Oryctolagus cuniculus: one gene and its partner. The protein of the gene in region 1 interacts with the protein of each later gene in a biochemical or structural test. Links are inferred from orthologs where the notes say so. Each region holds a gene or a part of one and is shown in the gene's direction. Other genes may lie near its edges.

Region 1 (7,004 bases):
GAGAGGAACCAAGAGCCAAACTCCAGTACGTGACTCCGGTACCCGAAGTGGCATCTCAGCTGTCCCACATGCCTGCTCCAAGATTCAGTGTTTTTTGAATGAATATTGTTTTCTAATTATAAGCAGCTGACTTAGCAGATGTGGCACTTAGGGATTTTATGGAGGGCTGACTATACATTTAATCTACTTGAAAATAAGATTACAAAAGAAATTAAATATCTTAAACTATATTTAGGTATAGATAACATGCTAGAAGTCAGTAGATAATGAACTTTCAGTGGATCTGCAAGGAGTTTCTTCACACTGTTTTCATCCTTTATAAATGCCAGTGACTCACTTTCCACAGGGTGCCCACTTTGAGTCAGTGTTCTCAGCAGTGGGGATTCAGCTGTAATGAGCCCTCCATGCCAGTATTATTTTCAGAGTAAGTTGGCCAGCACTTGGGGATGAATACTGATGTTGAAAAAAGAATCGAACGCCCCACTTTTAGTTTTTTGTTCAAATGTCACATCTTTACTGAAATGTTACCATCCCTTCTCCAATTACTCATGCTCAGAACTCTGTGTTTAGCACTTACCACATTTTATCAGACATAACTGATTGGGAATATTCAGCTGAGAATCAGGAGAACGTGGCACTTTTTATCGAAATACAATTCACATACAACAAAACCCACCATTCGATGTGACCTCTCAATGGGTTTTCATGTAGTCACAGAATTGGGCCACCACTACCACTACCCAGTACCAGAATCTCGTTAGCATCCAAGAGGGACTTCAGGGGCATGTCGTCACCTCCAGTTACTCGCTTTTCTGTCTATAGATTCGCCTATTCTGACCGTTTCCTAGAAACGAGTCATCCCATCTGTAGCTATTTGTGTGTGGCTGCTTTCACGTACTATATTTTCCAGGTTCATCCCTGTTGCAGCATATATCAGTACCTCATTCCTTTTTACAGCTGAACATATCCCATTGTATGGATGTAGCACATTTTCTAAACCACTCACCGGCTGATAGACGTTAGATTATTTCCACTTCTTGGCTATTGTGGATACTGGTGCTGTGAGCATTTTTCTGTGGACCCAATTATTCTGGATCATGTAATTCAAAGCGCGAATTTTGTGCCACACTGCCTTCTGGTTAAGGCCACGCTTGCTACTTACTAGCTGTGGGATTTGGGGCAAGTTACTTTTCTGCCTCATTCTTATATATTAACTGGCTATGCATATGACTCACTTCTTGTTTTGTTGTGTGTTTTTTTTAAACATTCTTAGAACTGTATCTTGAAGCTACATTTAATCTGTTAAAAACTGAAAAATAAAAAGGAAATGTAACTAAAAAAATTAAAAATTCATTAAAAATTTTTTTTATTTGAAGGGGAAAGAGGGAGAGACAGACAGAGACATCTTCCATTCTCTGGTTCACTCCCAAAATGGCCACAGGTCAAAGCCAGGCACTCAGAAATCCATCTGGGTCTCCCACGTGGTGGGGGGAGGGCATTGGACCATCATCCTCTGCTTTCCAGAAAACTGGATGGGAAATAGAACAGCCTGGACTTCAACAGGCACTCTAACATGGGATGCTGGCGCTGCAGGTGGCAGCTTAACCTGCTGTGTCACAACGCTGGTCCCATGGTGGTGGTGGTTTTATTTTTTTAATTGTATGGAAAGTACTGGTATACACTGTTAAGTCTGAGTAAAATTTATTAATGCTTTGAGCTCTTTATTAATAGGTTTGCTTTCATCTTGTCTTTGCAACTCCAGAGCCTCAGCCGTCTTTTCCCCTTTAATCGAAGAATAAAAGAAATATTTAGAGTTCTTTTTGGGTAGCAGGGTGTGCCAATTTCAGATAACTGCATTTTGAGATTGAAGGAGGACGCTAAGGCTGTGTACTGCTAAGAGGCTGGCTTCTCCAATTTACTTTTTCAATAAAGCAACTCAGAACACCCATCAGATGCAACTAATTAGTACAATTTTAGGAGGTCTTCTTGTAATCACCAGATATTATTTCATAAACTGGATACACAGCCGAGTGCTGACTTAAGACTCCAATAAGTCAAATAGCGAAAACTCCTTCCGCCTCAACTCTATGATTGGTTTAGGCGCGATCCAGGTCTTTTTTGATTGGCTCACCCCGTGGAAATGCTTTCGGCCTGAGCTACTAGTGGCCAATATGGCTCCACAATTGGGTCTCCTGGAAGCCGGCAGACACGTGGCTACTTCACGCTGGGCGAAACGTGGGAGGACCTAGTTTCGCTTACCGCGAGAGGGCGCCGGTGGTTCCTCTTTGCTAAAGTCTCATTTCCCATAAAGCCTCCGAGCGACCAATCCTCTGGCTGTCTCCATACCGCTTTCAAAGTCGGCGGGTCCTTTGTCCAATAGTAAAGCAGATACCGCCTCCACCTGGAGGATGGATAGAAAGCTTCACCAATCATCTCATAGACTTCCGCTATCTCCGCCTCTCTCGCACGGGATTGACGATCCTTCCGGCCAATAGGTGGCGTCGGGTCGGCGGGTGGATGAACGCGGCCCTCTGTAATGGCGGAGCGTGGCGGGGACGGGGGGGACGGTGAGCGATTCAACCCGGGGGAGCTGAGGTAAGGGGCGCTGCCCTCTCGCACATCTCGGCGCGCTGGACTCCCAGTGGCTAGGCCTGCTCGTGGAGATCCGGAGCGGACGGTGGGCAGCAAGGACGGGGCGGGTTGGGGCCAGAACCGCATGGGGTTAGAGAAGGGGGAAGGGAAGGTGGCTTGAATGAGAGCCGGGCCGGGGCCGTGCCGCGCGGCCTTCTGCGCGGTCTCGGGGTGCTCCCTGCGGCTTCCGCGGGGCCCAGTTGTCCGTCGCGGCCTGCAGGCCGGGCCGGGCGCTCCCGGCTTGGAGCCCCACCTCAGCCGCGTGCCGCCTGGGCCTCTGCCGCCCTCCGCCTGCCTTCCCGGCTCGGCTCGGCCGCGGCCCGCTTCTCCCCATCGACGTCCCTAGGCGGTGCGGTTAACTCCCAGGGGCCTCTCCCGTCTCTGGCTCAGCCTTCTCCACGCCCTCCGGGCCGTCCACGTTTGCTGTTTGATCTCGTCCCCCACCCCCACCCACTTGCCTTTCTTAACTTCCTGTGGCTTGTCTCCCTCGGTCTCTCTCTATCCCTCCGTATCCCGGAGCTGTGAATAACAAAAGCGGCAGCGGGGGGTGAGGCGCTTACTTGGGGCTGTCTCTCCTCTCCTGCCCGAGCCCACCCGCTGCAGGAATTGGTGCTCCGGCTCTGTAGGCCCCAGCGCCGAGGGCCCTTCGGCCAAGTTGCTCGCGCGGCTTACGGATGAGGAAACCGAGCCTCGTAGGGGTTTGAGTGCGGGGTTAAGACCGCTTGGGTGGAGCAGGTTAAGCCGCGGCAGGCAGGCTATGGACGTGCAATTTCGGGTAATTCTGTTCTTCTCCTCCACCCCCCCCCCCCCCCACCCGTGCTCTAAAAAAGGAGCGCAGTGACCTTCCTTCCTCGGGAATTCAGTGCCTGCGGAGTTTGTCGTTAGAGTTTGATAAGAAAAATGTGACCAGGATAAAAAACAAGCAACAAGCCGGTTTTTGAGGGGATGGGAAAGAGGTCCTGTGCTTGATGTATATCTAGTGTACTTTCTCCCCACCCCCCCACCCCCGCCCCGATGGGAGAAATGTCATTTCAGATGTTCAGCTGACATTCTGAATTGTGCCGTTGTCAGCGTTTAAAATTGAAAAACGCAGTGGAGATGATGACGAGTCTAATACTGTCCAGAGCTTATTGTTAGAGTTTTAGGAGAAGATAATGTCTTTCAGATTCTGCAATGTTAGGCACAGAAATTTCTACTTTGGCAGTACTTATTTCAGAGGTAGTTCTTAAGCCCATCAGCCCCATATGCACAGTGGTTAATGAGTGAACAAAGTGGGTAGTGGGTATCTTCCAGTGTTAATGGTGGAGCTTGTTCTTGATGCTGATCTCAGAAGATTACTGCTTGGCTAGTCTCAGATGGATTGATTAGGTAACATTGTTTTATGTTTCATGGAGTGTTTTCAGCTGTACAGTCATAGCCTTTTAGACTATTTGTAAACTAGATATTGCAAAACTGATTTAGGTAGGGCATTAGATTAGGTGTGCTGTTGCAGGTAGTTTAGCCTCTTGGGTTGGAAGTTGCAGAGCGTGTGGATAGACCTTTGTTTTAGCATTTATCATGATTTATGAGAAATTAGCTGTTCATGTGTTCTGTGCTGGCAGAAGTTTGGACTCAGTCTTTATAAAAATCTATCCTGGATGTATTTCGTGGCTGTGTCTATCACAGTGGCAGACAGAATAATCTATAGATAAATAAATGAAGACAGGAGACTTAGAGGTGGTACCCTTGCTGGCCTGTGTTCATGAGGCAGTTACAGACCTGGATGCTGGCAGTAGATCCTGAACCAAATCATGAGAGGCCTTTGCTCTCCCCTTTGTTTCCATTCTAATTGAGACTGATCCAGATTCTGAACTAAACCAACCACATGAAATGAAAAACCCAATGTGCAAGTTTGAAATGACTTATCCAAAGTCGATGGGTAGTGGCCAGGGTTTAGACTGAAACTTAGGTCTCCTTACTCAATTATTGTAATTTGCCTCCCATGTACATCTTGCCCCTCCAGTTAAAGTGTTTGCAGTCTAGTTTTCACCATTGAGATTGCCTATCTATATAGAGCACTCCTAGAAAAATGTTTGTATTTCCATGGTGTTCTTGTGAATTTTTGTTTGTTTGTTTCTAGTCTCATAGATAGTCTTTTGCTTCCCAAAAAGGTTTTAAAGCAGCAGGAAGTACAATAGATGGAAATTCAGAGATCCAAATGCCATCTGTCCCTTTATGGTTGAGGGCCATTAAAGTAACTTTCAAAGTCATGTTTATCTAACACATACAAGTTCCCATCCAGTGGTTCACAACTTGATTCATGTCTCCACTACTTGAGCCATTATCACTGCCTCCCAAGGTGTACACTAATAGGAAGCTGGAATGGGGAGCAGAACCTGGAACTGAACCTGGACCCAGGCACTCGGATTTGGAATGCGATGTTCCAGCTGCCAGCTTCATTGGTCCAGCAGAGGCCCACCCAGTAGAGTCATATTTACATGGATCCTTAGGGTATGTGTTTTCCTATTAATACTTAGGACGTGAAGTACTTGCAGTCTAGATTTTCTTGCCTGTAGAAATGAGAGTAAGAATACCCTGCTGTTAACTATTGACCAACTGTCTTAAGCAAATTGTTTTTCTGTGCTATGGTTTCCTCTGTAAAATGGAACCAGACATACCTTATTGGGTTATAGTAAAGATTGGGAGTTAGTACACTGACATCCATGTAACTTTGCCTGGAATATAGGAAGGTACCCAGTGTTCACTGTCATTGTTAAAGCAAGAAAGGCAGTGCCACAGTATACTAAAGGGAATCCTGTACTATTAGTAAAGGCAATACAAAAGTAAAAGTGAGAGATTTCTTTATAACATTTCTCATAATTGCTTACTGAAATTGGGTAATGAGCCACAGACTGTGAGAGACTACAAATGGGGAAGCAGCTTGAGGTGGCATTTGAACTGAAGCTGAATTATGAGAGAAGGCATCATATAAACATCTGGGGACGTGCCAAACAAAGGGTATAAGTGCAGAGGCTTCTAAGTAATGAACTTAAAGTTTTCTATGATTGGAAAGACTAGATAGAGTCTTTGGGCAGGTCAACAGGGCCAGGCTATATAGGTCCTAGTAATATATATTTACCAGTGTAATAGTAGGTAGCACTCTTAATAGTAATACCACGTAACACTTGCCAATACTATTACTGTGCTAATGTTGCAGTAACAGTAATAATAGCTTATAGGTTGCACTTAAGTGCTCGGCACTGTTTTTTAAGTACTTGATTGGGTCATATAATCCTCACTGCAGGATATACTGAGGTTATTGTAATGAAGCAGTATATATAAAGAACTCAGTAAGTTGTACAAAAACCAGCTTCAAAAAATGGCAGCTGTTGGCATTTGAAGAAGGAAGTTATGTGCATTTTATCACCAGTTTAGTGAGATGTAAATTAAAATGCCTTTTGTCCCCCACCCCCCCCACAAAGATTTGCTTATTTATCTGAAAGGCAGAGTTAGAGTACAAGAGAGAGAACATGAATGAGCCATCCACTGGTTCAGTCCTCAAATGGTTGTCGCTGTCAGGGGCCAGCTGCTCCATCTGGTTCTCCCATGTGGGTAGCAGGGGCCCAGGATTTTGGGCCATCTTCTCCTACCTTTCCAGGCACATTAGCAGGAAGTTGGGTAGGAGGTGGAGCAGCTGAGACTTGAACTGGCACTCATAAAGGATGCTGGCATTGCAATTGGCAGCTTAACCTGCTACATGACAGAGAACCAGTCCCCAAAGTGCCTCTTTGAAAGACAAAGCACTCTTAGATTTTGCTGAGGTCTGAAAATAATGTTCAAGTTTACTGAGTGCTGGGTACTATCCTAAAAGTTTCACTGTTATTTATCTCTGAACCAAAATATGAGGTAGCTTTTCTTTTTCCCGAGTGGACTCAGACTCAGAAATTACATAACTAGTATGATAGAGCCCTAATGCAACTTTTTCTTGATTCTAGAAAATAAGTGCCTCACTTTTAAGCTATGACCAGGAATTATGAAATTCAAAGGAAAAGAATATAGTAGATTTGGCAAAAATAGGTAGACTAGAAGGAAATCTAAAATTAAGCGATGTTATTTGCTCAAGGCTGAAACAATATCTTTTTGGTTAACTTTTTTCTGTCCAAAGGTAAGACATTTCCTTCAGTAACAGTGGCTTTGGGGGGGGGGTGTATATAATTTTGAAAAAGATCTGATTATTTTGATATAGTCCATATTCCTTTTTACGAGAACTGTCTTTAACTCATATTTTCTGGCCTTTGGAGCATAGGATCATTTGCAAATTTGGCTAAACATACTTGGTGTACCATGTGGACATGTTTACCATCCTGGTCATCAACACTGAAGTTCATTCTTGA
Region 2 (6,905 bases), on another chromosome or scaffold:
GCCTGCGGCCGCCTGGCGCGTGACCGCGGGCCTCTCCTGTCCAGTGAAGAAAGACGATGAGGGCTTTGAGGTCTCCGTCCCCTTCGAGGAGGCGCCCCCGCTGGACTCGCAGCTCTTCTACAGCCTGAACTCCTCGCAGGCGGGCTTCGAGGGTGAGCGGCGGGGGCGCGGGGGCGCGGAGGCGCGGGGCCGCCGGCCCGCAGGGTGACCGGTGCGCTCCCCGCCGCAGAGCCCGCGGAGGCCGCGTCGCCCACCCTGGCCCTGATGAACAGCGTCAAGGCGCAGCTGCACCTGGCCCTGGAGAGGAACTCGTGGCTGCAGAAGCGCATCGAGGACCTGGAGGAGGAGCGGGACTTCCTGCGCTGCCAGCTGGACAAGTTCATCTCCTCCGCGCGCGTGGACGCAGGTGGGCGCGCGGGCCGCGACCCCGTGCCCCTGCCCCCTCCCGTGCTGGTCCAGGACCAGCAGCAGCCCGGCCGGTTTACTGGCGGACCCACGCGTGCTGACCGCCGCCCAGCCCCAGCGGGGCCCCTGCTGCCCCTCTCTCTGCGAGCCCCCTCCTCCCCAAACCCGGCGCCACGCACGGGCCCGTGGTGCCCGTGCCCACGCTGTCAGGATCTGGCTGTCTCCCCCGCGGATGATTCCCGCGACGGTCGGGCCCCTGGGGAGCCCAGTACAGGGCCTTTCCAGCACCCGTGTCCCCGGGGAGCGCCCCCGGTGCAGCTGGAGGCCTTGGCTGTCCCCGGCCTACCAGGCCCAGAGCCCCTGTCTCCCGGGCTCCCACTGCCCTCCAGGGGCTCTGCGGGTCAGCGCGGCCGCCAGGCGTCCGGCCTGGGCCCGCCGTTCACCTGCGGGCTTTGCTCTCCCCCGCCCCCCATCCCACCCCCAGAGGACCACTGCCGGGCCAAGCCGGGGCCCCGGCGGGCGGAGGGGGACAGCCGCGGCGGCGCGGGGGGCGAGGCCTCGGACCTGGAGTCGGCCGCCTCGTCGCTCAGCGCCGCGTCCGAGGAAGGCAGCGCCGGCGAGAGGAAGAGGCAGAGGCCGCGGGCGGGCGCCGGCCGGAGGCGCTTCGGGAAGCCCAAGGCCCGGGAGCGGCAGCGGGGTGAGCGGGGGCCGAGGCCCCGGGGCGCGCGCCCTGGCCCCGCGCGCCGCGGCCCCGGCCCTGACCGCCGCCCGCTGTCCCCCCGCAGTGAAGGACGCCGACGGCGTGCTGTGCCGCTACAAGAAGATCCTGGGCACCTTCCAGAAGCTCAAGAGCATGTCGCGGGCCTTCGAGCACCACCGCGTGGACCGCAACACCGTGGCGCTGACCACGCCCATCGCCGAGCTGCTCATCGTGGCCCCCGAGAAGCTGGCCGAGGTGGGCGAGTTCGACCCCTCCAAGGAGCGCCTGCTCGAGTACTCGCGCCGCTGCTTCCTGGCCCTGGACGACGAGACGCTCAAGAAGGTGCAGGCGCTCAAGAAGAGCAAGCTGCTGCTGCCCATCACCTACCGCTTCAAGCGGTGACCCGTGCTCGCTCAGATCCAATAAAGAAAGACGAGAGACGTGACGCTCGGGCAGACGGCGCCCGGAATTTAAGTTAAAAAATTAAAAATAAAACAGAGACGTGACGCTTTGGCACAGACTGGGCCCCAGCGTTTTCCTCGGAGGGGAAGCGAGGGGTTGGGGAGCACAGGGTGGGGCGAGCCCCCCGGGGGCGGCGCCGTGCGTTAGCGGCGCGGGGCCCGACGACCCCCGGCATGGGCGGTCCCCGGGCGCGGCGCGGCGTGGCACGGCGGCCGTCTGCCGCCAGGGGGCAGCAGCGCGACGTTGGCCGCGTCCCGGAAGTGGTGCTTCCACCGCCTTCCACGCGTGCGCGCGGCGGCAGGGGTGCGAGAGCGCGGACGCAGTTGCCAAGACAACCGGGAGCGGGCGGTCGTGCTTAACGGTCGGGAACTCGGACTCCTTTTAGGCAGGGAAAGCCTCGCGCACGCGCAGTGGGGGCCCTGGAACCCGACACCGCCACCCCGCCTCAGACCGACCTCCGCGCAGCCGCAATAGCCCGCCTCAGCCCCTGCGCAGGCGCGCAGAGCCGCGCTGGCAACCTCCGCAGCGGCCGCGCGCGCCCTCCAGCCCGAAGGCTGCTGCTGCCTCGCGCAGCCGCCTCAGGCGCTCCGGAGAGTCGGCCCTTCCTTCCTTCCTCTCTCCCATCGGGAGAGCCAGGTGCCGAGAGCCCGGACCCCGCCCCCTTCTCTGGACCCGGGCCCCGGACCCACCTCGCCTCCGTCCTCCCTCCCTTTTCGGTTCCCGCCGCCGGAAGGAGCCGAAGCGCCGCCGGAGAGAGCCGAAGCCGCTTCCGTGAGGGAGGGGCTTCCCGAAGCCGCGGCGGAAGGAGCCGAAGCTCTCCGGTAGGGGAGGAGTGCGCGAGCGGACTCTCCGGAAAGAGCCGAAGCCTCTGGCGAGCGCCGAAACCCTCGGAAAGGTCGTCGGCAGTGGCCGATTGCTTAGGCGGGTCCGGCGGAGCAGCGCGGCGGATCTGCAGAGGGAGAGACTGGGGCGGTTGGAATTGTCGGGAGGAGCCGAACCCGCGGAGAGGGCTCTGCGCCGAGGGACGCGAGGACCCGCGAACACAGCCGGACGGCGAGGCGCTGACTTCCGGAAAGTTACGGAAACCCGAGACGCCGGCCAGGTCCTCGCTTCGGGCGTTTTCGGAAACCGCCGAGGCCGACCGTCCGGAAAGAGCCGACGCGCTTCGGAGCCAGGCTCGGGGGCGGGGCTCGCGGGGGTCGGGCGGGGCGAGGGGCGGAGCCTGGGCGGGGCGGGCTGCCGGGGCTTGATTAGGTAGGAGGCGGTACAGCGCCGGCGGCGGCCGGAAGTAGCCGAAGCTAGCGGCGGAAGTAGCCGAAGCGGCCGGAGCGGGCGGGCGGCGAGGCGAGGCGAGCGCTGCACAGGGCCCGACGCGGCCGCCTCAGCATGTCGGACTTCGACGAGTTCGAGCGGCAGCTCAACGAGAATAAACAAGGTGAGGGCGCCGGGGTGGCGGGGCGGCGCGGGAGGGGTGGCTCCTCGCTTGGCTCCTCGGCCCCCGCCATTTTCCCCCTCGTTTCCCATTCCTCGGCGCCGCGCGATCCACCCCCCCTCCCGCGGCGCGCCTCGCTCACGTGACCGCCCGCGGCGCGGCGAGGGGCAGGGGCGGCGGGCGCGGGCCCGTGGCGCATGCGCACGGCGCCCGCCCGCGCCCACGTGGTCCCCGCGGAGGTGGCGAAGGGGGACGCGGCGCGCTGGCGCCGGAGTCGTCGACCCTAGCTCTGCTCGCTCTCTCCCTTTCTTGGCAAAGACGATTAGTATGTTAGATCCTGTAATCCCCTTCTTTTTCGCCCGCTGCTGCAACTCTTCCGCTTCCGGTTGTGCCGGGGCTGCGTCTCCACGCCCCCTTTGTTTCAAAATGGCGGTCTCGGGGACGGCCCCCTCCCCCTCGCGTGGACCGGGGCCCCTAGCTGGGCCTCCTGCGTGTCCGCGCGGAGGTGGGACGGCGCGGCTGCGGGCCGAGGCAGGCAGTGCCCGGCAGCGCCCCGCCGCCCGGGGCTGCGTGCCCGCTTCTCGCGTTCGGCGAGAGTGAGGGCGCCGGGAGCAGCGGAGGTCCAGGGGCCCAGGCCCGAGCTGGGGCGGGGGTGGACGGAGCCCGCCCCTCCCGCGGCCTGCCTGCCGCCTGAGTACCGAGGGTGCGGTGTTCTTTGCTAATGTTTCTGGCTGTAGAGATTCCTCATGGGGCGAGCGAGCCCCGCTGCAGGGAAGCTGCGCCCCTCGCTGGGGGCCGGCGCTTTGTTCGGTCCGCCCGCGTTTCCTCGCGAGCACGGCCCGGGTCCCCCCGCTGCGGGAGGGGCTCGGAGGGCGGACACGGAGTCGGGCGAGCCGGGCCGGCTGCCCTCCCGCCGTCGGCTAGGCCCTCGGCGCACCTGGCGCGCGGGGCGGGACGGCGCCTGCTCGAGCCAAGTTCCGGTCGCGTTCGCGTGGCGTCCTGCGGTCAGCGGGGAGGAGCTGGCGCGGAGTCCGGCAGGTGTGCGGCGCCTCCTCCGGGGCCCACGTGTGCCCCGTGCCGTGCGTGGGTCTTTGTCCCAGCGCGCCAGTCTCCCTGCGTCTCTTGGCGACCTGTGCCTAGGGGATTTCCTTGTTTGCGTCCGGGCGCCCCGCGGGCGTCCCTTTCCTGCGCGCTGCTGAGCCTCGGCGGCGGGACGCCTCCTGGGCCGGTCCCCGTGGGCAGCAGAGCTGCTGGGGCCGGCGCCCGGCGCCCGCGCGGTGCTCGCGTGCTGGCTGCGGGCCGGCGCCCTCGTCTCTGTCTTCCGCACCCCAGCGGGGTTTCTCTGTCTTTGCCTTCCGCGGAGGGAGTGTCGTCGTGCAGGTTGGAGGCGGACTGTCTGCTCCGCCGGCCCCGTGTCCAGCAGTGGCGGGTGCAGGCTGCTGGCGCGCGTCCCGGCCGCCCGTCCTGTGGCCGAGCCTGGGTGCAGGTTCTGGCTGGGGATGCAGGCGGTGCTCCCGGTTGTGCGTGCTTGAGCGTGCGTGGTTGGGGGCAGAGCACGCGCAGCCACGTTGGACAGTGTGTGACACGGAGGCCACGGGGGCGTGGACCTGTCCTGCGCTGCGTGTGGTGGCCCGGTCGGGCCCGTGCCGGGGCGCGCGGTGTCCTGCGGAGGTCCTGGCGGGACCTGGAGTCCCTGGTCCTCGCCCCGAGGGGATGGAGGCATATTGGTCCCGCGTGGCCTGCCTGCAGGAGAGGGATGACTCGAGCGTCCTGCATCCGGGCACATCACATCACGCCTGGCTCCGTGCTCCTGGGCCGGACGTGGGGGGCTGTGGGTGCCAGCCGGTGCCCGCGTCTTTCCTGAGGGGTCGCTGGGTCCCTTCAGGAAAGCATCATTGGGTCTCTTGATTCCCCAGCGTCTAGCCCTGCCCCTCTCAGGGACGACCCTGGGGTCAGGCCCCTCAGCCCTCGAGGGGGACCAGGAGCCAGCCTCCTCTGTCTTCTCTGGCTCCTCAGCCCTTGAGCATCCGCAGGTATCTTCACCCCCGGGGCACTAGCAGGCCCTGTCCGCGGTCCCCTCTGCTGTGGACCCAGGAGGCCTCTTCTCTCCCTTCCTCCTGCAGTCCCTGCCCTTGGGGGTGGCCTCCCTGGGTCTTGGGCGTAGCCACCAGCGTGCAGGGTGGGCTGGGCCCGCGTCCTCCCTCCACTCAGCCCAGCCCCTGCCTCTCGCCTTGCGCAGAGAGGGACAAGGAGAACCGGCACCGGAAGCGCAGTCATAGCCGCTCGCGAAGCCGGGACCGCAAGCGCCGGAGCCGGAGCCGGGACCGGCGCAACCGAGACCAGCGGAGCGCCTCGCGGGACAGGCGGCGGCGAAGGTGCCCGGGCCAGCCTGGGTGTGGGGGGCGTCTGGGTGGCCCCACAGCCTGCGTGGCCTCGTGTCTGTCGGGTGGGGACCAGCTCTCCGCCGAGTCTGGCGTTTCTTTCACTTCCCCGCTGGCGGTGCTGGGGGCTGCGGGTTCTGTCTGCCCCGACCCCGAGGGCTCTCCTTACAGAGACGACTTGATGAAGGGCGGGCCGGGGGCTCTTGTCCTTGGCTGCCACGCTTGGGGCTGGTCCAGGCCAAGGCTAGGACCCCGAAACTCCATCCTGGCCTCCCCGTGGGTGGCAGGGCCCAGGCACTTGAGCCGTCTCCCCCGCGTGGCCTTCCCAGGCGTGCTAGCGGGTTGCGGGCTTGGAGGTGGCACGGCTGATGGCGTGGCCGATGCCCGGCGCAGGGCTGGCTCCCGCCGCGGGCTGGTTGCCTTGAGCTGTTCTGTGCTGCTCTGGGAGGCTGTCTTCCGGGGCTGCTCTGGCTCCAGTCTCTCTCCCCTCCTCGCAGTGGGGCACTGTCTGCAGCCTCGGCTCCCGGGCTCCCTCCAGGGATTCTGCTTTCCCGCGCCCCCCCCCCCCCCCCCCCGCCCAGTGCCTGCAGGGACACTGGTCTGCCCTGGCCCGCCTCCTCCTCTCCTAATCCTGGTCTGGGAGTTGGCGGGGGGAGATGGCAGGGCCGAGGGGGCTGCTTGCCGCTTGTTCTCCTCGGCCCTGCCCCAGCCTTGGGACTCAGTGAGCTGGGGGGGAGTGGCCTGTGGGGCAGTCGAGGGTCCCCAGTCACCCCTCCCCTACCTTTCCCTCCCACCCCCCAGCAAACCTTTGACCAGAGGCGCTAAAGAGGACCACGGTGGATTGATGTGAGCGTCTCTCCTGCCCCTGTGCCCCCGCGTCTACACCTTTCCCTCCCTCACTGCTGTGTGCCTCTCCCTGCCGTGTCCACACCTTCCCCTCCCTCACTGCTGTCCACACCTTGCCCTCCCCCTGCCCGCATCCACACCTTCCCCTCCCTCACTGCTGTCCACACCTTGCCCTCCCCCTGCCCGCATCCACACCTTCCCCTCGCTCACTGCTGTGTGCCTCTCCACTGCCCTCGTGTACACCTTCCCTTCCCCCTGCCCACGTCCACACCTTCCCCTCCTCCTGCCCGCGTCTACACCTTCCTCCTCACTGCTGTGTGGCTCTCCCCTGCCGTGTCCACACCTTCCTCTCCCTCACTGCTCTGTGCCTCTCCCTGCCCGTGTCCACACCTTCCCCTCTCGCTGCCCACGTCCACACCTTCCCTTCCCTCACTGCTGTGTGGCTCTCCCTGCTGTGTCTACACCTTCCTCTCCCCCTGCCCACGTCCACACCTTCCCCTCCCTCACTGCTGTGTGCCTCTCTGTGCCACGTCTACACCTTCCCCTCCCCCCTCCCATGTCCACACCTTCCCTCCTCCCTGCCCGTGTCCACATCTTCTTCTCTTGCCTGTGTCCACACCTTCCCCTCCCTCACTGCTGTGTGCCTCTCCCCACCCATGTCCACACCTTCCCCTCCTCC

Evidence for each region.
Region 2: the proteins of TCERG1 (region 1) and U2AF2 form a complex in vitro, tested with the Homo sapiens proteins (2 studies listed by BioGRID). The link is inferred for Oryctolagus cuniculus from reciprocal best matches to the Homo sapiens genes TCERG1 and U2AF2.

The regions. Positions count from the first base shown.
Region 1 is NC_091437.1:33,945,839-33,952,842, forward strand, and holds the start of TCERG1 (transcription elongation regulator 1), read left to right. Parts: upstream 1-2,457; 5' UTR 2,458-2,536; coding exon 2,537-2,595; intron 2,596-3,191; exon of another isoform or gene 3,192-3,324; intron 3,325-4,969; exon of another isoform or gene 4,970-5,121; intron 5,122-7,004. UniProt on the Homo sapiens protein: Transcription factor that binds RNA polymerase II and inhibits the elongation of transcripts from target promoters. Regulates transcription elongation in a TATA box-dependent manner.
Region 2 is NC_091449.1:3,335,819-3,342,723, reverse strand, and holds the start of U2AF2 (splicing factor U2AF 65 kDa subunit), read left to right. Parts: upstream 1-2,862; 5' UTR 2,863-2,953; coding exon 2,954-3,002; intron 3,003-5,238; coding exon 5,239-5,374; intron 5,375-6,181; coding exon 6,182-6,226; intron 6,227-6,905. Other genes in the region: CCDC106 (coiled-coil domain-containing protein 106), read left to right, coding at 1-152, 230-406, 890-1,102, 1,191-1,507. UniProt on the Homo sapiens protein: Plays a role in pre-mRNA splicing and 3'-end processing. By recruiting PRPF19 and the PRP19C/Prp19 complex/NTC/Nineteen complex to the RNA polymerase II C-terminal domain (CTD), and thereby pre-mRNA, may couple transcription to splicing.